Diceros bicornis minor: one gene and its partners. The protein of the gene in region 1 purifies or fractionates together with the protein of each later gene. This does not show direct contact. Links are inferred from orthologs where the notes say so. Each region holds a gene or a part of one and is shown in the gene's direction. Other genes may lie near its edges.

Region 1 (7,368 bases):
TTCATATCAAGTATTTCAAAATCAATGATGGAGATTTTATCTGCAGGACACATGGCACCACCAAAGCAGTTACCCTGCAGCTAGCTTGGTTGAGGCGGAAAAAAAGAACATTAGCTGCAAACAGAAGTTTCAGCTATATGCAATGTCAGAGAATGCCCTGAAGCTGCACCTGCCAGAAGCCTCTACTCCACTTTCGCAGGCCTACTCTTACTAGCCACATTGTTGGTACCTGGAACACAAATCCTTCCAGCAGCTCCATGGGCTGCAAAAGACCTAAGATGAAGATGTGGGGAGTAGAAAATTTGGAATGAACTCAAATATCAAAGAAATGCAGGAATTTGGGGAGCTGCTCTCCAGCAGTGTCACTGAATTGCTAAGGGGTTGGCTATCCTCTGTGTACTGCAGTTTTGAATATAGTACAGCAGAAAACTATTTCTGAACTTCCTGGAAAGAATAATATTTGATTGAGTTGGGCTAGTTTGGTTCTGGGACAAGCAGTAAAGACAGCACTTTCTAGGTATAGAGCTCAACCTGAATAGACATATGAATAATGAACATTTGTTGACTGTATACCCAGCAACCATTCCCTGCTTTGCCCTTCCTAAGAGTCTTCAGATTTTTCTTGTAGTTAGCAGCTCCTCCTTCTCAAAGTCCATGTTTTCTCAGTCCTGGATCTAAACTAAACAAGATATTTGCAACCTCAACTCTCCTGTTCCCCATTCCTCACTCAAGGGTACAGTTGTCAAGGGCTTTTGAAAAAGAAAGTTCTTTGCTCTTCTGAGATAGCTACCAAAAGATGCTCTCTGTTATTGTACTGGACAGTGTGACATGTCATATGAAAAATGAAACTGCTGGAACGTGCGTTCTCAATGGGGATGATATCACCTCCAAGGCGGTGAAAATTAAGGAGAGAAAAAAACAACACTTTTTATGTATAAAGCATAAATATGCATACAGTACATAAACAGATACACAGTATATCCGTGGTATTAAAACTTTGGGAAGGCATTTAAAACAACCTTAAAAGGCTCCTGGAGCCGGGGGGCAATAATGAAAACAAAAGTTGAGAAACACTGTTCTAGAGCAATGGCACATACCACAAAAGGCAGAAGACAATGGAAACTCAATTTTTGATGCTAACATTAAGTTTATGAATCAAGACACCTGAAGCCTCTTCTACCTCTTGACTTTCCACTTAACTAAGCCAATAAATCCCCTTTATTGTTTCAAGTATTATGTGTTGAGTTTCCTGTTACTTATAACAAAAGTGATACTGACTGATAAAATAGGAAACACTTTATCTAAAGTTAATCTAAATGTATTACACACGCCAATGCAACAGAACTTTAAAGTGGAACTATTTTAATCTGTTTCTGCTAAGTCTCCATGAAAACAGGTGCCAGGTGTCCTTATATCCAAAATGAGGCAAATAGGATGAGAATCCCATTTAGAACATTCAGAGATGTTGGGAAATGGATTTTGAAACTCTTGGCCCTCATCCCCTGGATAGTATAAAAGTGTTAAAATTGAAGACAGAGTTGAAGGTTAGAGTAGTTATTAGGACATTAACATGAGGGTGGGTGGTGGAGAGTGATCAAACTGGGAGGGACTTAAAGACCACTTAAATAGCTTGATATGTATCTCTGGAAATTTGTAGAGACACAATAGACTGGTGACTGAAGTTGACATGAAATTGTGACGTCCAAGCTTCCATCCTTAACTCATGAAAGCTGAAGAAGTTAAAGGGGATGCAAAGTCAAAACTGGGGTGAACTAAAATGGGTTCAGCTCCCTTCCCTCATTTCTCTGGATTCAAACTGTATTACTTAGGATTGTTTGATTGCAAGTGACAAAAATACAACTCGAATCAGCTTAAACGAAAAAATGGGAATTTACCAGCTCACATAATCAATCACAGAATGGAAGAGGTAGACTGCATTTGGGGGATGACTGGATTCACAGACATGAACATTGCTGGGATTTTATTATCAGAAGCTAGTGAAAAGGCACCATGCAGACCAAAAAAAGGGTGGTCTGCAAGCAAATAGGACAAGAATTGATTTTAAACTAGTATCAATATCAGAAGTCGAAATCAGTGGATAAAACACAAAAGTAGAAGTATTGGGGTAGACGGTCAAAATCATGCAGGAAATCCACTTTGAAATGCATTCAATCAAAAAAGATAAATGTATGTTTGTATGGGTGGATGGACAGATGGACAGGTATATGATAAAGCAAGTATACTAGAATGTTAATGGTAGAATATTCTTGCTAAGTACATAGGTGTTCACTGTAAAATTCTTTCAACTTTTGTATGTTTGATACTTTTCATAAAATGTTGTGGGAACACCAAGCAGGAGAACAACATCAGGGCTGTAGTGATTAGTCCCTTCTCAGCAGGATTCTAGTCCTAAACTGAAGGTATACAAAACAGATCTTGCACTCCAGGGAAACGAAGGACTGACAAAAGCTATTCATTCATCCAGAATATATAACAAATATTTCTTGAGTTCCCACTTGATAGCATCCACTGTATTAACATCAAGGTGGTAAAGAGAAATCAGATATGACGCACAGAGTGATAGCACAAGGTTAAGAGGTGACCATCCTAGTTTGGGAATTCAAGTAGAGAAATGACAGATAAAAATGGTTATCCCATTGACTTAATCTGGTTCTATTTGGTTATCAGTGCCCTAACCATCGTTTTACATGCAGAAATAAAGCCCTGATTTCCCACTTGGACAACTGAGTAGATGATGGGATCCTTCACGAAGACAGAAAATGCGCACGGAAGAATGTATTTGTGGTGGGTGGTAACTTCAATTTTTTTTTGGAATCTTCAAGTTTTGGTGTTTATGTTATATCTAAATAGAGATGTCCAATAAGTCCAGAATTCATGAAAAATTTGAGTAATGGGAGAGATTGGGAGTTATCATCATATAAGCAGTATAGGTGGTCAAGATCTTGGGTAAGATCATCCAGAGAGTGTACAGTGAAAAGAAATTATTCTTTCTTTCATTCTTTTATCCATTCACCAAACTATCATTGAGTGTTACTAGAACCATGAATGAAGAAAGACAATGTATTCCAGGAGTTCATAACCTCTTGATCGCCAAGTCAAATGACCTATTTGCTAACCCAAATGTGTTTAACTTACTTCTGTACAGCATTTATTTGGTTGGCTGCTCTTTAACAAGAAAGCTCTCCTCCAGTGATATTTGGATCATCATTCCCCTGACTATCTCCCTATCTGTTCCTTTTTGGTCTCTTACTGAGATTCAGATTTTGATATTCACAGGCTTTCACCTTGGGTCCTTAAACCTTCATTTCGAACTCCAATTTTCCCAGTTAGTCTTTAGGTCAAACCGACTAAATAAAAACTAACATTTAGTTTAAAACTAAAAACTGTGTTGATAGCACAACACAGGCAATACTATCCGGAGATATACTGACAGGTTCTACCAGCTTGTGAGAATCATAATTGTTTTAACCTCTCTGAGCCTAATTTCTCATGTCCTGAAAATGGAAAAAATATATATTATTTTGCAAGGCCTTTGTTAATGATTAAGTTATAAATGCACAGCATCTAGCACAGTGCTCTGCACTCGATACGTACTGTTAATATAACCCATAACTTCAGATGAACACAAATTATGCCAAATTACAAATATCTCCCTTACCTAATATTAACTTCTATTCGTGAGTACTCAGCCTTCGTAGTGTTATTCAGGTTACATGCAGTGGCTCGCTCTGTATTATTTGCTTTAGAATCTGATAGCGTCAAAGTAACAATAGCAACCTGGCTCAAAGTAACAGTAGCAACCGCTTCCTTCCATATACCACATTGAGGGAAACACATTTTCCAAGGCTTCTTAAAGAAACAGTTCTGCTTAGCTTACTTTTAGCTTAGCTGAAAACTAAGCTTCGTCACAAAAACTCAGTCCAACACCACCCCGTCCGTCTGCAGGTCTCTGAGAGAAGAGGAAGCGGGGCCTTAACGTAGTTCACGAAGCAAAGTTAAAAACGTAGCTTTTATCTTTCCCGCGGGTTGCTAAAGGACCAACCGCACCAATATCCCGTCGTCCTCCGCGCCACTTCCGTTCGCGCATTTTAATTACGACACTTCGTCAGCTCTCGCGGTATCATCCGGTTGCTGAGGCCCTTTAACAAAGATCTCGCGAAATTTGTTCTACAGGCCCAAGATAGCCTCTCACCCTCCCCTACCACACCCCCAACCTGTCCTTCCTTTCTCTGGCTCAATCACAAAATTCTCCCCTCCCCTCCCTTGAGCTCACGGCCCTCCTCCTGTTTCCGATTTCAGGCCGGAACCGGAAGTCTAGTGGGCGGGGCCCGGCGGCGGAAAACGCAGCGGAGCCGGAGCCGGGACTCGGCTGTGGCCGCTGCTTCTGTCCCCGCCGCGGATCGCCGTGGCTCCAGGCTGAAGGTCGGTCCGGAGGCGGGTGGGCGCGGGTCTCCCCCGGAGTGTCCGGGCGGCAGCCTCCCCGGGCCCCCCGGGCTCCACAAGGGATCATGTCTACAGCCTCCGCCGCTTCCTCCTCCTCCTCGTCTTCGGCCGGTGAGATGATCGAAGCACCCACCCAAGTCCTCAACTTTGAAGAGATCGACTACAAGGAGATCGAGGTGGAAGAGGTGAGCGAGGCCTGGCACGGGGCTCCGGCCCCGGCCTGTCCCCGCCTCTGCCTGGTCCCGACTCTTAAGGCGCCTCCCCGGCCCCTCTGATCCTCTGGGCCCCGCAGGGTCCACCCCGGAGTCCCCACAGAGACCGGGTATAGAGGGAACTCTCCGCGTTCAGCTGCTCCCCGATAGCTCTCTTTTTTCCTCACTTCGGCACTCTTGAGTTTGGATTTGATATTCTGGTGCCTGGATTTGGGTCATCTCAAACAGGAGGATGGACTGGTGAGGTAGTGTGGTCCACCAGTTCCCATGTCTCTAAGTAGTAAATTCGTCAAAGACCGTGGCCGTTTTGGAGTTTCAGCTCACTACGACGTGGTGTTCTTAAGGACCAAGGATTGTATTCTCTTCGACTCCTAGCTCGGTGCCTAGAACGTAGTGGATGCTCAATAAGTGTTTGGTAAATTAGCACATCACCATGTCTAGTAAAGTGTTTCCCCGGGTACCGAACGGTTCTGTTTCGCTGTTTCCATAGAGCAGTAGCTGTAATATTAAATGTTCTGCCATCAATTGGACTAATTTAGATGAATTTCACCATTAATAATGTAGACTGGTCTAGAAGGAAAGATGTCTCGAGTAGCATGTTCTGAAGAGCCAACTAATGATTTCGGTGACAACCAGAACATAACAGACAGAAATCGCTGTTAGAAAATCCGAATCCATCCTTAAGTTATTTTAGAGCAAAGTAATATGTGCCTTTAATACGTCCCTTCTTTTCAGATTCACAGAGAAGTAGACTGTTTCTAAGAACCATAAAATTTAGAAAAGTAAAAACTATATGTTTTAAAGATACACTTCAGAAAGTGTTAAAACTTTGGTTGAAAATAGTATCTATCAGTTACCATTTATTTATCATTTTTAAAATATATTAAGCACTTTACATAACGTATGCCATAAAGAACCCTGTATGTTCTCTTTTGTAGACTCTCAAAGAGTTATCTCTACTTTAAAAGTTCAAAATTATTTTTAGGTAGTGGCAAACTAAAAGTAATGGGATAGTTATCATTCAATAAATAAATTTTTTTCTATGCGGGTTTTGGAAGAATAATGGATTACTCAGTCGTATTTTTTTATTGCATAAAGTAACCTTAGAGATCACTGAGAACAACCTCATTTTACAAGGTAGTGTAAGTGGGAAGAGTGAGGCCTTTAAAGTTAAAGGAAGGTTCAGAATATCAGCTATGCCACTTATTAGCTGTGTGATTTGGAGCAAGGTTCCTAACTAACCCCTTTGAGCCTTGGTTTCCATAACTGTAAAATAGGGATAATAATTTCTATTTCATTTTATGTGTATAATAGATCCTATTAGGCAATATGTGCAAAACACAGTGCTTGACACATATTACTAAGAAACAGTTCCAGAGAGGAACATTGACCTGCTTTAAGGTCACATGGCTAAAAGAAGGACCTGTGTTTTGAAAAGGGGGCAATTTGTGTGTGTGTGTGTGTGTGTGTGTTTTCTATTGAGGCTAAATTCTATTGAGGATAAATTCCTTTTTCAGAAGTGGATAGTTGATCCAGCTTTCGTGGCTAACATTCTTTCTTTTTTAAGAATAAAAATTCAGTGAGTCAGTATAAAAGAATTGCAGTTTTTAAATAAGCATTTACGTCTACTCTGTGGCGAACTGCTGTGCTTGTAGACTACAAATTGTTATATAATAATAACTTGTGCTTCATAGTCTACCAAATGCTTTCACAGACTTACATTATTTGAGTCTTACAAGGTTGGTTTTCCACACACTACTTTCTAAAGCGTTTACCTTCTTGCTTCTTGGAAGAATGAAAGTTACTAAGGAGACAATTATCATTTTGTTGCTCTTCCACCAAAGCCATTTAACTTCTGATTAGATTTTTATGTTTCCAAAGACCCTCTTTCAGTTTAGACAATGTTTCAACCCGTCTTTGGTATATTTAGGACATTCCTGGGGAGTAGATTTTTGGTTTTAGATGAAAATTTCTAATATTAGACAGTCATTTAGCTGTGTTTTTTTCATTTTTTAATGCCAGTTTATTTTCACTTTAAAGATTGAATTTGGATCTTTCTAATGTTGAGACTATTACATAATTTCCATCATCATTTGCATACATTAAAACAGTGTTATATGATCCAGGGTTCACCGTGGGCACTCGGTAACTATTTCTCAACTTAGAATCTGCTTCTAGGTTAAAATCATGAATAAGAGAATAGAGGAAGATGACCAGAAACAAAAAGTATTTTACAAGGTTTGCAGTATTTTGTATGGTGCAAATATATTGCCTATAAATAAAGAAAATTGTATTCTGTATTTTTCAGATAACAATGTAATTGAATCAGCGTTATATCAATTCAGTTAGAAACTATGTAAGAAAAAAACTCCAACCACAGACCAAATTTGCAGTCATTTGGTAGATGCATATTTTTTAGGCATCAGCTGATTTTAATCCTTAAATTCCTAATGTTGTGACTCAGTAATATCAGCATGACACTTCCTAAATTCAGTTCTGATATCCAGTTATGTAAGGTCTCAGCCTCAGAAACATACGTAGATTTTTTTTTTTTTAAATCATTTAGTTTTTACCATTCTGGATCAGAGTGTAGAAAATGTTAGAATAAATTGTAAGGTATGTACATTGGGGACTAGGTTGCAAGAAGTGGTAAGGGCAGTGTGGAGTGGTGAAAAGTGTACTGGGCTGGATA
Region 2 (7,973 bases), on another chromosome or scaffold:
CATTAACTATCAGGGAAATGCAAATCAAAACTACAATGAGATATGACCTAACTCCCGTCAGAATGGCTATAACTAACAACACAGGAAACAACAAGTGTTGGACAGAAGGGAACTCTCATACACTGCTTGTGGGAGTGCAAACTGGTGCAGCCACTACGGAAAACAGTATGAAGGTTCCGCAAAAAATTAAGGATAGAACTACCATATAATCCAGCTATTCCACTGCTGGGTATTTACCCAAAGAACATAAAATCACGAATGCATAAAGATATATGCACCCGTATGTTCATTGCAGCGTTATTCACAATAGCCAAGACTTGGAAGCAACCTAGTGCCCATCAAGGGACGAATGGATAAAGAAGATGTGGTATATATACACAATGGAATACTATTCAGCCATAAGAAATGAGGAACTCCAGCCATTTGTGACAACATGGATGGACCTTGAGGGTATTATGCTAAGCAAAATAAGTCAGAGGGATTAGGTCAAATACTGTATGATCTCATTCATATATAGTAGATAAAAACAACAACAAACACAAAGAGACAGAGAGTGGATTGGTGGTTACCAGAGGGGAAGAGGGGAGGCAGGAGTGTGAAAGGGGTGACTAGGCATATGTGTGTGGTGATGGATTGTAATTAGTCTTTGGGTGGTGAACATGATGTAATCTACACAGAATTTGAAATATAATGATGTACACTCAAAATTTATATAAGGTTATAAACCTATGTTACTACAATAAAAATTATAAATAGAAGAAAATATAATTACCAAAAAAAAAAAAGAGGTGCCAGCCCTGTTGCCTAGTAGTTAAAGTTCCGTGTGCTCCTCTTCGGCAGCCTGAGTTCGCAGGTTCAGATCCTGGGCACAGACGTACACTACTAGTCAGCCATGCTGTGGTGGCATCCCACATACAAAATAGAGGGAGACTGGCACAGACATTAGCTCCAGGCTAATCTTCCTCAAGCAAAAAAAAAAAGAGGATGATTGGCAGCAGATGTTAGCTCAGGGTGAATCTTCCTCAGCAAAAAAAAAAGATGAAGAAGCTTTTTATTTCTTGTTTGTTTTCATAAGGAAGGATATTTATGATATATTGTTCAATGAAAAACAAGCAAGGTGAACAGGTATATAGTGTGGTACTAATTACATGAAAGAGAGACATTATATATATATATATATACACATATATTTGTTTCATATATACTAATAACTTTTTATTGAAGTATAGCATATACATGTACAGAGAAAAGTACACATTAAGTGTAACCTTAAAGAATGTTCATAAACTGAACGCACCCGTGTAACTGGCACGTAGAGTTTAGGTCCTAGATCAAGAAACAGAACATTACTATCATCCCAGGCGTCCCATCATGTCCCTTTTAGTCACTACCTCCACCCTACAAGAGTGGCCACTATTGTGATTTCTAAAAGTATAGGTTAGTTTTGTTAACTTTTGTACTTAATAGAAATGTAGTCATACAATATGTACTCTTCTGTGTCTGGCTTTTTTAATCCAACATTATATTTGTGTGATTCATCAATATTGTCATACACTGTTCAATCTCACTGCTGTTTAGTATTCCATTGTATAAATGTGCCACAATTTATTAACCCATTCTACTGTTTATGGGTATTTAGGTAATTTCCAGTTGGAAGCTATTATAAATACCACAGCTACGAACATTCTAGTATATGCATATACGTGTCCACATACCTAGGAGAGAGTGATAAGATCTGCATAACTGCAATTTTAATAGTAACTGCCATACGGTTTACAAAATTGATTGTACCAATTGACACTCCCATCAGCACTGTACAAGAGTTCCAATTGTTACAAATCCTCACTCACACTTGGTATCTGTCTTTTTAATTTTATTCTTGTATTTGTGTAGTGATCTTGCATTGTGGTTTTAACTTGTACTTCTCTGATGACTAATGATGTTGAATATATTTTCATCTTCATTTGCTATTTAGATATCACCCTTTGTGAGGTGTCTAGGTCTTCTGCCCAATTTTCTATTGTATTGTCTGTCTTCTACACTTTTAAATTTTGAAACGTGAATATATTATTTATTTTTTTAAAAGTACATTTAAAAGTAATGCAATTAAAAATATAAATAAATTTTATAGAGCTCTATGATGCATGCTCTCTCCTTCTTAGAGATTTACAATATACCAGTATTTCAAAAGCTCTGAAAAGTCTTAAAGTTTCACCACCATGGAACAGTTTGGAGAAATGCTGCTTCCATTCTTGTATAATTTTTATTTTTCATGGAATTAATAATTGCCTTTTTTTCACTTTCTTAGATTTTAAGTTCTCTCTCCACGTATTTCATTAGATATATCCAACACCTATCAATATAATTTCCCAAATATTCAAAATTAATCTATAAATTCAATTATTTTAGAGTTTTTCTTCTTGGAGTCTGTCATCTTCCTGCTCCAGTGAAAATAAGTTGCTCTCCAATTCTGCTACATATCTTTCATTCTGGGGTTTCCCTTTCCATTCTTCTGGTCCTGTTTTCTGGATCTCATGTCTCTCTCTTTTGTGTGTGTGTGTGTGAGAGGAAGATCAGCCCTGAGCTAACATCCATGCTAATCCTCCTCTTTTTGCTGAGGAAGACCAGCTCTGCGCTAACATCTATTGCCAATCCTTCTCCTTTTTTTCCCCCAAAGCCCCAGTAGATAGTTGTATGTCATAGTTGCACATCCTTCTAGTTGCTGTATGTGGAACGCGGCCTCAGCATGGCCGGAGAAGCGGTGCGGCGGTGCATGCCCGGGATCCCAACCCCGGTCACCAGTAGCAGAGCGTGCGCACTTAACCGCTAAGCCATGGGGCCGGCCCTCTCTGTTTCTTAACTTACTCCCATATTTTGTTGGAGCACAGCCTCTAGTAGCTTTCTTTAAAAAAAAAAAAAACGGGGGGGGGGGCGACCCGTGGCTTGGCGGTTAAGTGCGAGTGCTCCGCTACTGGCCACCCGGGTTCGGATCCCAGGCGCACACAGACTCACCGCTTCTCTGGCCATGCTGAGGCGGCATCCCACATATAGCAACTAGAAGGATGTGCAACTATGACATACAACTATGTACTAGGGCTTTGGGGAGAAAAAGGGAAAAAAAGGAGGAGGATTGGCAATAGATGTTAGCTCACGGCAGGTCTTCCTCAGCAAAAAGAGGATTAGCACTGATGTTAGCTCAGGGCTGACCTTCCTCAAAAAAAAAAAAATAAATAAAAAGTGGATGGATGGAAAGTAAATGTTTGCATCCTTGTATATATCAAAATGTTTTTATTCTGCTCTTATACTTGGGTAGTTTGAGCGACTACAGCATTCTAGGTTGGAAGTTATTGTCCTTCAAAACTTTGAAGAAATTTCACTTCAGTGTTTTAGCATAAAAGTGTTATTGTTGAGAAATCCAATGCCACTCTAATTCTCATCCCTTTATTCTTGTTTCTTCCCTCTGAAAACTTTTAGAATCTTTTATTCTTAGTGTCTGACCTTTTTAATGATGTGCTTTAATACAGGTCTTTTTTCATTCACTGTAGGTACCTGTTGGCCCCTTTCAATATGGAGACCCCTGTCCTTCCATCCTGGCAAAATTTCTTGAATTATTATTTGGGTCATTCCCTCCCTGTTTACTTTTTGTTCTCTTTTTCTGCAACTCTTAGTTTGTTAACTGAGTGGTTGAATGAGTGAATTGGAAATCGGATACAAAGTATCCAGTCATATCTTTAAAGCTAAGCCTTTTATTTTAAACGATCAAAATTTTTTAAATACACTATTTCATTACAACTTCCCACTGCATATTGTGAAAAGTAACACTGCTACTGTCATTTCAGGCAATACAAAAATACAGGAAGCATTCGTTCTCTGTAGGCGGAAAACCTCCACTCGCCTCAGGCATTCCTTATTACTGTTGCCTCAGAACTCATTAAATGCCCAGCATGGACTTGGTATTGTATATAATATTTGCAGTCACATCCTACAAAATAGTCATCTAAGTAGAAACGTGTTTGCTTAAACTAAAAAGATGGAACTATGTTTGCAGTCTTTTTTTTTGGTTGGCATTAAACACTGATTGCATTTCTCCCGGACCTATAAGAAATTTTTGCAGTCTTATTTGGAGTCAGACGGCTGGATTCTCTAGAGGTTATTTTTCAATCTCCGTATGTAATTACGAACATAAGATAGAAGACGAGAGAGACAAGCCAGTCCCTAGTAGAGGAGCACGTAACAGGAGCTAGACCCCTGAACCTGCTGCCCGGGTTGAACTCCGAAAGCGCTATCATCGCCCTTCCCTCTTGAACTAACTGAGGGCGAAAGAAGGCTGGGTCCAGGGAGACATGTGAATGAACGTACACCCTTCGTGCCTCGCGGGGCTCAGGAAGCGGAAAGCCCTGGAAGTCCGACGCTCCCTCCAGGCGCTCGCCGCGCACGCGCGCATCGGGACTCCGGCGCCCTCCCCTGGCGCCCCCGCCCCCCTCTCCCGGGTTTCCCGACTCCCCCAAGACGCGCGGCCCAGCGCCCGCGTGAGGGCCCGCTGACCAAAGTAGGCTGCTGCGGGAGCCTTCCCCAGAGGGACGCTTCGCCACACCCGGGGAGTTGGGGAGAGGAGACCGGAGGAGCGCTTCCGGCCCCGCCCGCCCCTGACACCCGGCCCGAGCCCGCCGCCGCAGCGGCCCTCCCGCGCAGTGACCGCCGCGGACGCCGCCTGAGGAGCGGGAGGGCGGAGCTCCGGCGGCCGGCGGGCCCTCCCGCGCAGTGGCCGCCGCGGACGCCGCCTGAGGAGCGGGAGGGCGGAGTCGGGCGGCCAGGCCGAACGGCCGGGGAGGCCGTCCGGAGAGGAGGCTCCTCCCGCGCGCGCCGCCGCAGAGCCGACCCCGTCTCCGAGCTGGGGAGCCGCTCTGGCGCCGGAAACCGCGGCCGCGGGGCCGGGCGGCCTCGTGACCTGGCGTCGGCGGCAGGGCGGGCCGCGCCGGCCGAGGACCGCGGGAGCTGCGGACGGCGGCGGCGGCTGAGCGCCAGACCATGGACGGGGACGCCATCTGCAGCGCCCTGCCCACCGTCCCCTACCACAAGCTCGCCGACCTGCGCTACCTGAGCCGCGGCGCGTCGGGCACCGTGTCGGCGGCCCGCCACGCGGACTGGCGCGTTCAGGTGGCGGTGAAGCACCTGCACATCCACACCCCGCTGCTCGCCAGGTAGGGCGCTCCCGCGGCGCGCGGCCGCGCCGAGCTCGGCTGCCTGCCCTCCCGCCACGCCGGCCCCGGGCGGGCCGGCTCTAGACCCCAAGCGGGACCACTTGGGTCGGCGCCAGCCCTCCACCTCCAGGCAGTCCTTCGAGGCTTGGGGCTGGCCTGGTGGGCAGAGCCGGCTTCTCGGGAGATGCGGCAGTCGCACTCTTCCGCTCGTCTCTCTTCTCCTCTGTGCTCTTTCCCTCGCACTCTGCTGCGCCCTCTCTCTCCGTACACCAAAAATCGGCAGTCACGGCCCAACTCGAAACGTCCTCTCGGTTGACGTTGATGTGTGTTCATATAGTGAGTGCGGGTTTTGCCTGCTTTGGTTTTTTCCTTTTTTTTCCGCTTTGAAATCGGGCTCTAGGGCTGCGCCGCCCGGTAGGTAGCTGTTAGCCACAAGTGGCTCTTGAGCCCTTGAAATGTGGCCCTCGGAACCGAAATGTGCTATTAGTGTAAAATACACACCGAATTTCGAGCACTTAGTACTAAAAAAAAAAAAAGAATTTATAGTATCTCATTTAAACTTTTATGTTGTTAGCATACTGAGATGATATTTTTGATATATTGGGCTAAATATAAGATATTGTTAAAATTCACGTGTTTCTTTTTTTTATGTTGCCACTGTAAAATTTAAAATTGTACATGTGGGTCACATTGTATTTTTATTGAACAGTGCTCCTCGAGTCTGGGATGTTTTGGTTTGGGCTTTTTGTTGTTGTTTTTGTTTGGTTTGTGGTTTATCACGGGTAGTTATCTAAGTTTAGATACCAAATTCAACATAGCAGGTTAGTTTCGGCTTGCACTCTCATAGGCAAGTCTGTCCCAAGAGGAAATGTGTTTTGTTTTTGCTAACAATAAACTGAATCGGAAGACTGTTAAATGACCAAAAATTTTGATTGTCTCTCACATCCTGGAACCATTTTAGTGCACTGTACGGGTTTGAAGGGAAGGCTAGTATTAGTTTCTATTTCCAGAAAAACATTTCGACCATATACCGTGACTGTACGTGTTAGTCAGTGGGACTAGTCACTAGTCTTGTGTGTTTTCCTACCGATAGGGATTTAACTAGACCCTGCATTCATTTATTAGTGAGTTAACCTCCTTGACTGCAACATTCTCCTCTCCTCCCCTTAAGTGTAGTGTGAAAATACATCTCGCTAGATGCCTGATTGGCCGGAGGCTGTTGGTATCCAATATCAGGTAGATTCCTCAGCTTCAACCCTGACAGTGTTAACTGAACTTTAATCTGCCTGTGGCTTTTCTTTGCTGTCTCTTGCTGTCAAGCTTGGATGGGCTAGATCTCACAGTAGACTTGAGACACTTGTAGAGATTGGTCCCACATTTTTTAGACCATAATCCAGATCTCGTGACCTGTATACAGGGTATAGTGTCTGTTTACCCTGGACCTTGAATTCTGGGGAGCAAGTGCTGGGCAAGCATGTGTGTGTGTCTATGACTACATAATCAACTTTGAAGAGTGGTGGTTGGTTAGAGAGGGTGGATATATTTTATACTTATACGCAAATATATGGAAATCTAGCATTGTAGGACCTATTAGGTATTCTAAAGCAAATTGATCCTCCCATTTTGGATGCTGCGTCTCAAGATTTTAATTTATCTAGGTTTTGTGCCATTTGGGAGCCAAGGAATGGAGTTCCCTTACTATACTCATTAACAATTTTCATAATCTAAAATTCTTTGCTAAATTGGGTGAGGGAGGTAATTCTGTTGTCAAAGAATCCATAAAAACCAGTGGAACACTGGCATTACTGCATCATGTCCTTTTCTCCTTCTTGTTACCTAGATGTTACCATTAGCAGTATTTATGTAGTCTGAGCATAGGGCTGAGCTATGCAGTTGACTCACAGGGTGTCTATTTCCTGACTTATAAAGTGGAAATGATAAATACATGTGCGTCTTGGGCTCTGGTGCAGATAATGTTTGCATTGTTCTTTGGGATCACCTGAAAAAAAAAAAAGTTTCTGTGCTGTTACATGTTATTTTAGTGATGGCTGACTTCTGCTCGATGAGTAGACCTTCCAGCAATCTCCCAACTCCTTATGAGTAGATGAGTCTGATCAGTTGTTCAAACACCCTGTAGATGATGTAACTGTTTTTTGACTGAAATTTTGAGTTGGGTAATTTTGGTGATATGTCTACAGACGGTATATTTTACATTTTTATTTTTAAAAATACAAAAACATTTTTATGTTGGCTCAAACACTCAAAAAAATGAGTGTTTTCCCACTCATTCAATCTTCCCAAAATTTGACTTCAAGAACTTTCTTTCTTCTCTGATTAAGCAGTGGAATGGAAACAAGACAGGTTTTTGAGTCCCACTATTGCAGTTCAAATCTGACTCCAACCCTACAACTTATTTTTGGCATGACCATTGGAAAATTATTAGTTTATCTGAGCCCAAGTGCCCTTATGTATAAAGTGGGGATAATGAAACCAACTTTAGAGGGCTGATCTTTTAGAATGATAGTACATATAAAGTGGCTGACACATAATAGGATCACAAGAGAAGGAAGAATGCCTCATGCTCGTAATGTGAGGAGGAAAGAGTGTAGTATTAGGTATCACTGAGACTTGCCCAGCATGCCCTTTCTGTAGTTCTTTCTCAGAGGAGCCAGGAATCTTCAGGTGGATCCTGTCTCCCTGCGAGGATGCTACACAATAACTTGTCTGTTGACCTGTGTCTCTTGATGCAAGTACAGAATTGTTTCAACTTAC
Region 3 (6,899 bases), on another chromosome or scaffold:
GGCACTGCTTTAGGGGGCCCAGGCAGGGGATGGTCTAGGCAGGCTGTCCCTCTGCTTAATGTCACATGGGAAGTGGCTTCCTTGGGCCACTGCCCCCATTCCAAGAGCCCTTGACCCTCAGAGCAGGTTTCATTAAAAACATTTCTTTGCCTTCGCCGGGGGAGCAGCTGAAGCCACACAGAGGCAGGGTAGAGGAGGGAAGTGTCCAGAGAATGCTCCAGTCAGCCCTTCCATCCATCCATCATTCAGTGTCTGCCCCGCCTTCCACACCTGCGCTGCCGTCAGACCAGATAGATCTGAGGGGTTCCGCAGGGGAAGAACCACACCCATATGCTGCCCCCTCTCCCCTGCATAGCCAGTCCTGGTGGTCTAGTGGTTAAGATTTGGCGCTGTCACCACTGCAGCCTGGGTTTGCTCCTTGGCCAGGGAACCACACCAGCCATCTGTCGGTTGTCATACTGTGGTGGCTGTGAGTTGCTGTGATGCTGAAAGCTATGCCACCGGTATTTCAATACCAGCAGGGTCACCCATGATGGACAGGTTTCAGCAGAGCTTCCAGACTAAGACAGACTAGGAAGAAGGACCTGGCCACCCACTTCTGAAAAAATTGGCCTTGAAAACCCTAGAAGAGTTGGGGCTTCTGTTTACGGGCCTTCTGTCTTCCAGAAATGCATCGCACCTGTCCACTTGATTACTTTCCTGGCACCTCTGTTAACTCATCGCCCACCGTTCTTTGCTGTCATTTCAGCAGGTTTTCAAAGAGGAGGTGAAAGTTTGTATTTAGTTCACTGTCTGGAACCAGAAGTCCTTATTCAAAGACTTTTGAATCACCTTCGTTCTGGGGTCACAGAAGAATCAAGTTTTAAAAGGACATGCCTGGGCGGGAGGGAACTTTCTGGGTAATGGTAGTGTTCTACATTATATCAACACTGTCCCATAAAAATATAACGTATAATTTTAAATTTTCTAGTAGCACCATTAAAAAAGAAATGTGAAATTCATTTTAAATTTTATTTATTTATTTATTTTTTCCCCCAAAGCCCCAGTAGATAGTTGTATGTCATAGTTGCACATCCTTCTAGTTGCTGTATGTGCGACGCGGCCTCAGCATAGCTGGACAAGCGGTGCGTCGGTGCGCGGCCGGGATCCGAACCCGGGCCGCCATCAGCAGAGCGGGCACACTCAACCGCTAAGCCACGGGGCCGGCCCTGAAATTCATTTTAATAATTTATTTTATTTAACCCAACATATCCAGAATATTATTTCAACATCCAATCAATATCAAAATTACGAATGAGAGGTTTTGCATTCTTTTTTACATACCATGTCTTCAAAATCTGGTGTGTCTTTTATACTTATAGCACCTCAATTCAGACACTAAATTTTCCTTGAAAATGTTTGACCTGTACTTAGATTTTGTAAAATTTACAGATGAAAAAGTAGATTAATATACTCAAATTGCTCTCAACATACTTAAAATTTTCCAATAACAGAATCAAATGTCAGTTTTAGATTTTAATTAAAATTAAATGGAATTTAAAATTTGGTTCCTTATTCACACCAGCCACATGTCAAGTATTCAACAGCCAGTCGTGATCAGCGGCTGCTACATTGGACCACACTGTTCTATATCTTCACAAGGATTTTGGTTACACAGTATAGACATTCGTCAAAACTCATTTCATGATGTAGTTAAAATCTGTATGTAAATTTTACCTAAAAAAATCTCTCTAAGTAATGATATGCATGACGAAGGATTTAAAGGTGAAGTACGTTGATGTCTTCAACTTACTTAGAAATGCATCCAAAAAAAAAAAAAAAAAAAGACGGATTGATGGCTAGAGGGATAGATGGACAGATATGTGATAAATTTGGCTATAAATATAGCCAAATGTTCACTGTAGAACTAGGTGGTGGGATATATGGGTATTCACTATACAATCCTTCTAACTCTTCTGAATGTTAAATTCTAAGGTGTTGGGGAGAGAGAGACATGTCTTCAATGAACTATACCTGCTTGTAACCCCACCACTAAATCTGAAAAACATGATGTTGGGTGAAAGAAGCCAGACCCAAAAGAGAATCCACGTATGGCTCCGTTTATATAGTTTTTGAACTTTACAGGCAAGATATCAGATAGAACCGATCTATGCTGTTAGAGATCAGAATGTGATTATCCTTGGTGTGGGGGAGGCGGTGACTAGAAGGGGGTGTAAGGGGGAGTTCTGGGGTTCAGACAAAGTCCTATGTTTTGCTATGGGTGGCGGTCACGTGGGTGTGTTGGTTTTGTGAAAATTCATCAAGCTTTTTGCAGAATTTGTGCACTTAACTGTGTATATCTCTCCATAATCAGTTTTGTTGCTGTTTTAAGGCATGCCTACCCTTCATATCCTGCATGAGGGAAACCAGAGTTCTCCTTCAAACCGGCACTGCCTGATTTACAGGCTTCTCGGAGTGCAAAGGAGATTTCTCCCTGGTCCCCAGGAGTCACTGGGCACGAGGATGCTGTGGGCCTTGGTATTTATTTTAGGAATTTTCCCACTTTGCAGTTCTTGATTGCGTTTTTGAACACGCTTTGCAGAAAGCAAACTTGTGTCTTCCTTAATCCCTGGCGGGTGTGCATTAGTACAGCCTGGCTCCTCAAAATTGCCAGGACTGTGAATGCTCTTGCGCTGGGGCCACACCGCTGTTAATTATTTATCTTTTTGCTTAGTGGTTGAATTTATGGAACGGCTTTCCCTCCGGGAGCTCAAGGAGCTTTTCTCAGAGAACTTAAAACACGAAACAGGAGGGTATGTTCGCTAGCTGTCATAGGGGGAATCAAAAGAGGGGGAGGAGGGTGAGAAGAGAGTGGTAAACTGAGGCAGAGCAGAAGCAGAGGTTGGGGGCTGGGGAAACGGTGGCGAATCAGCAGTCGGGAGACTAGAGCCCAAGATTCTCTGCATGTTCCCAGGTCCTCCACAGATTTTCAAGTTCAGGACTCAGATAAAACCTCGGGACTTTCCCACCCATACAGTACTTATCGTGAAAGAGTGATGCACCCAGAAGCCTACGCCATGGCTTTTGGAGGAAACTACTAAAACGACGACATCCAGAAATCAGTTTCTCCTACAAGTGTCCTTCACCAGGACTGAGAGCACTAGCAGGGGTGGCTGTGCTGGGCCGAGACAGCGGGGTGAGGAGGCTACAGGTAGACTGTCACTGTAAAGTGTCCAGAAGGGGTGTGGGAGCACCGTGGAGGATGCTGACGGCCAGGCAAGCCCCAGGAAGCTTCCAGAACAAAGGCTGAAGGAGGAAAGAGGCCTGCGGTTCCCACGCTGCGGAGTGCCTTGCTTCTCACTCCTTTGTGGGAAAAGCTTCCGCCCCAAATCGCAAAGACACAGTCTGGAAGTTCTCCAGAATGTGGCCAATTCCTCTAAAATGACAGCTGCCCAAACCTCCCACACAGAGCCTGGAGAACCCAAAACCAGGCGTCCCTTCCCAAGGCCACACCTGGGTTCTGGCAGGTTTTCTGGGCCAGGGTTAGGTGGACTTGGGGTCAGAGCTCGGTGGGGCTGACGGCCCCAGCTGGGGTCCAGCCTCACCCTGCCTGGGGCAGGTGGCCTGGCCCCTGGGGCCTGCCCGGGTCTCCCCACCCCTGGTCCACCCGTCGCCGGTCCCCGCAGCGCCCCCATCCCCGGGTCCCCCCACCACCCCCACCTCGTTACCGATGCCTCCTCCCAAGGCCCGGGACCCAAACTCCGCCCCCTCCCCCTCTTCCTTATCTCTTTTTCTAACCTTTTGCATTTTTTAGTCTCATTTCCTGTCGGGTTTTGCATTTCCCTCCCCCGCCCCTCCCAGCCTGTGACACACTTTCTCTCCTTTTTTCTCTTTTGCCTCCTCTGGCCTCCGGACTCCTGCCCGGGCTGCGCGCAGCCCCCTCCCGGCCCTGCAGCCCCTGGGCGGGCGGCGCCCCTCGGACGGTCCGGGCGGCGGGGACCGAGGGCCGGGGCGCCGGGAGGCAGCCGGCGGCCTGCGCGGAGGAGGCGCCCGCGCGGCTGGCGGAGCATGAGCGCCCCAGGTAGGCGCGGCGTCCGCGGGGGGAGGGGTGCGGGGGGAACGCGGTCGTGGTGGGGGATGCGCCTGGGGGGAGCACGGAGGCGCCGCTGGGGGGATGCCGCGCGGGGCGCCGTGGGGCGGGGGGCGCGAGTGGCTGGCCCCGCTCGCCCCCGCGGTGCTGGGCCCCCATCCCTCTCGCGCCATCTCTTTTTCCTACTTCCCCTCCTTCTCTTCACCCTTCCTTCCAAACCTTTTTCTTGCTTCCACTTTCCACCTCCCTTATCTCTCCTCCGTGTTCCTCTCGGATCGTCTGTCTCTAAGTGGCTTCCCCTGGCAAAGTCCTCGCGCCCCTCAGAGAGGACAGGGATGAGTGGGGGGTCGGGGGCAGCGGCCCGGCAGGGTGCCCCTCGGTGCACCTGCCCCAGAGGGAGGAAAAGAACCTTTTTTAACACCTGAAAGGACAGGAAGTTTCCAGACCACAGCCAGGCCTGACTCAGAGGCTCCTGAGAAGGTGGGGCCCCCGGGGGTAGGAGGGGAGAAGGACAGCCCCTCCCATGGGGAGTGACGGCAGGGGCCCGGGAGGGGCCAGAATGAGGCCCTAGTGGCCTCGGGCCTGGAGTCGCCTTCCCCGCGACACTTGCCTCCCGCAGGACACTGCCCAGGCCAGATGGCCTCGGAAGCTCTCCTGAGCTCTGGGCACAGGGAGGGGAGCTGGGTTTCTGTCCCTTTAGGGTTCAGAGCACAGTTGGAGGGGGCCACAGGGGGACAGTTATGCTGTAGGGAGCAGCCTCCCCAGCTGGGCCTGCCCCACCATCAACAGGTTTGTCGAAGCTGGTAGCTCATGAGTGTCAACAGAGGGCCACCTGCACCAACTTGGTCTTGGACCAGACTGACCTGTGTGTCCAGCCTGTTCCCAGAGCCTCTGATTTGTAGGTGAACAAGTTTCTCCTGACATTTATGACTCCTCTTGAAGGTGTAAGGTTACTGACCTACCAGAAAGGAGAAAAACGGTCAGTCACTCAGTCACTCAACAATTACCGAGCAACTACTCTGTGTGTAGTGTGTGCTGGAAATCCCGTGCGCCACTGATTGATTCGAGGACAGGCATGTAGCTCAAATGCTGCGCTTCTGTCCTTTCCCTGAATCTCCACTTCTCTCCACCCCGACGGCAGCTGTAAAGAAGTGATGGTTCCCAGGTGGGCCAGGGGTGACCTGGGGCCAAAGGGAGCCTCGGACCCAGCCTTGTCACATCCCAGAAAATGGTTTGGAGGTACGCACCCGTATCACAAAGGAAGGCTGGTAGCCCCACCCGTCCAAAGTCTTGAGTCTGCAGGTGAATGATCCTTTGTGTGATTTTTTTTAAATTGTGGTAAAATCCACATAACACAAAATTAACCATTTTTAAGTGTACAGTTCAGTGGCATTAAGAACATTCACGTTGTTGTACACTATCCATCTCCAGAACATTTTTGTATTCCCAAACGGAAACTCTGTCCCCATTAGACCCTAACTACCCCCGCCCCCATTGTACTTTCTGTCTCTATAAATCTGACTGCTTTAGCCACCTGACATAAGTGAACTCCTACAGTTTTTGTCTTTTTGTGACTGGCTTATTTCACTTAGCGTAGTGTCCTCAAGATTTATCCATGTTGGAGATGTGTCAGAATTTCCTTCCTTTTCAAGGCTGAATCATACCCCGTTGTCTGGATGGACCCTGTTGTGTTTGCCTGTTCATCCTTTGTGATCCTTTAAAGTGACTTGTAAACATAACTCTTCTTCTAAAGATGATGGGCCTTGTTTGAGTCAGTCAGTGGGCACTGTCTAGGTGGCGCTGTGCTGTGCGTCGTGGGGACACACAGAAGGAACGTGAGACCCAATGTCCCTGCCCTGAGTGGGTCGTGTGTACGGCGTGTGTGTGCTGTGATCCAAGTGTGGCTGAGACTCACGCTAGATGGGAAAGAGTTGAGGGAAGGGAGGATGGCGGGAGGCACATTAGGAGATGGTAGGACTCAGAGGGCCCAGGGATTGATAGAAGGTTCCAGGCGGAGATTGTGCTGGAAGAGCAACCTCCTGACGTCCTTCTCCACTTTCTTACGTAGTGTTTCTCCACCGCTGTGATACGAGACTTGCTTCCGGGACTGAAGGGCTGTGGCTGGTTTGGTGGCGAGGGGAGGGGGTGGAGGATAACGAGGCTGCTCCTCTGAGTATCGCTCCTCATAGTACTTCGTGCAGGAAGGCCAGATTGAGTGCCCGACGTTCAGATTATTGTGAGGGAAACGAGCGTCAGATGCTGATCGCGGAGCCTCCTCATGTCAGTTTAAAACTGCCTTTCCATCTCTCTTGCTTAGCCGCTGCACCCAGCCTCGAAGACAGTGCCTCCTGGTAATTGGGACGGGGGTCAAGTCCCAGGTGGGCCAGAATTCCCAGATGAGCCCCTGACACAGAGAGTGACTGCTGTTGCTTTGCAAAACCAGATCTGTGAAACTTGGGTTAAAAGAAAAAGTCAGGCCAAGGGAAGAAGGCAACCACCTTTTGGGTCTGTGGCTGTGTGGGAGAGTGGGAAGGAAGGTCACACTGTGGCCCTGGACATGTGTTGCAGTCTCGACTGCTCATCTGTGGTCGCCCTTTGGCCTTGGACAGACCTGTCATCACTTCAGATCTCTGAGGGTCCTTTCTCTCCAGTGAGCTCAAGGTATTAATACTGATTATTTTCAGGATTGTCAGTTACACCAAGCGTAAAATGAAAAAACATGAGATGTGACATACTCTTAACTTTGCTGTTATTCCCGAGATCTGGTTGGACGTTGAGGTCCAGACCTAGGGCGGGAATGCCACCTTTCCCACAAACACCAGCTGGGTGG

What was found.
Region 2: the proteins of MAP3K7 (region 1) and RIPK2 purify together in Homo sapiens (affinity purification with western blotting; 4 studies listed by BioGRID). This does not show direct contact. The link is inferred for Diceros bicornis minor from reciprocal best matches to the Homo sapiens genes MAP3K7 and RIPK2.
Region 3: the proteins of MAP3K7 (region 1) and CARD11 purify together in Homo sapiens (affinity purification with western blotting; 3 studies listed by BioGRID). This does not show direct contact. The link is inferred for Diceros bicornis minor from reciprocal best matches to the Homo sapiens genes MAP3K7 and CARD11.

What each region holds. Positions count from the first base shown.
Region 1 is NC_080762.1:42,350,043-42,357,410, forward strand, and holds the start of MAP3K7 (mitogen-activated protein kinase kinase kinase 7), read left to right. Parts: upstream 1-4,349; 5' UTR 4,350-4,529; coding exon 4,530-4,649; intron 4,650-7,368. UniProt on the Homo sapiens protein: Serine/threonine kinase which acts as an essential component of the MAP kinase signal transduction pathway. Plays an important role in the cascades of cellular responses evoked by changes in the environment.
Region 2 is NC_080760.1:9,528,191-9,536,163, forward strand, and holds the start of RIPK2 (receptor-interacting serine/threonine-protein kinase 2), read left to right. Parts: upstream 1-4,952; 5' UTR 4,953-5,028; coding exon 5,029-5,201; intron 5,202-7,973.
Region 3 is NC_080765.1:11,558,808-11,565,706, forward strand, and holds the start of CARD11 (caspase recruitment domain-containing protein 11), read left to right. Parts: upstream 1-3,878; 5' UTR 3,879-4,047; coding exon of another isoform or gene 4,048-4,060; intron 4,061-6,899. UniProt on the Homo sapiens protein: Adapter protein that plays a key role in adaptive immune response by transducing the activation of NF-kappa-B downstream of T-cell receptor (TCR) and B-cell receptor (BCR) engagement.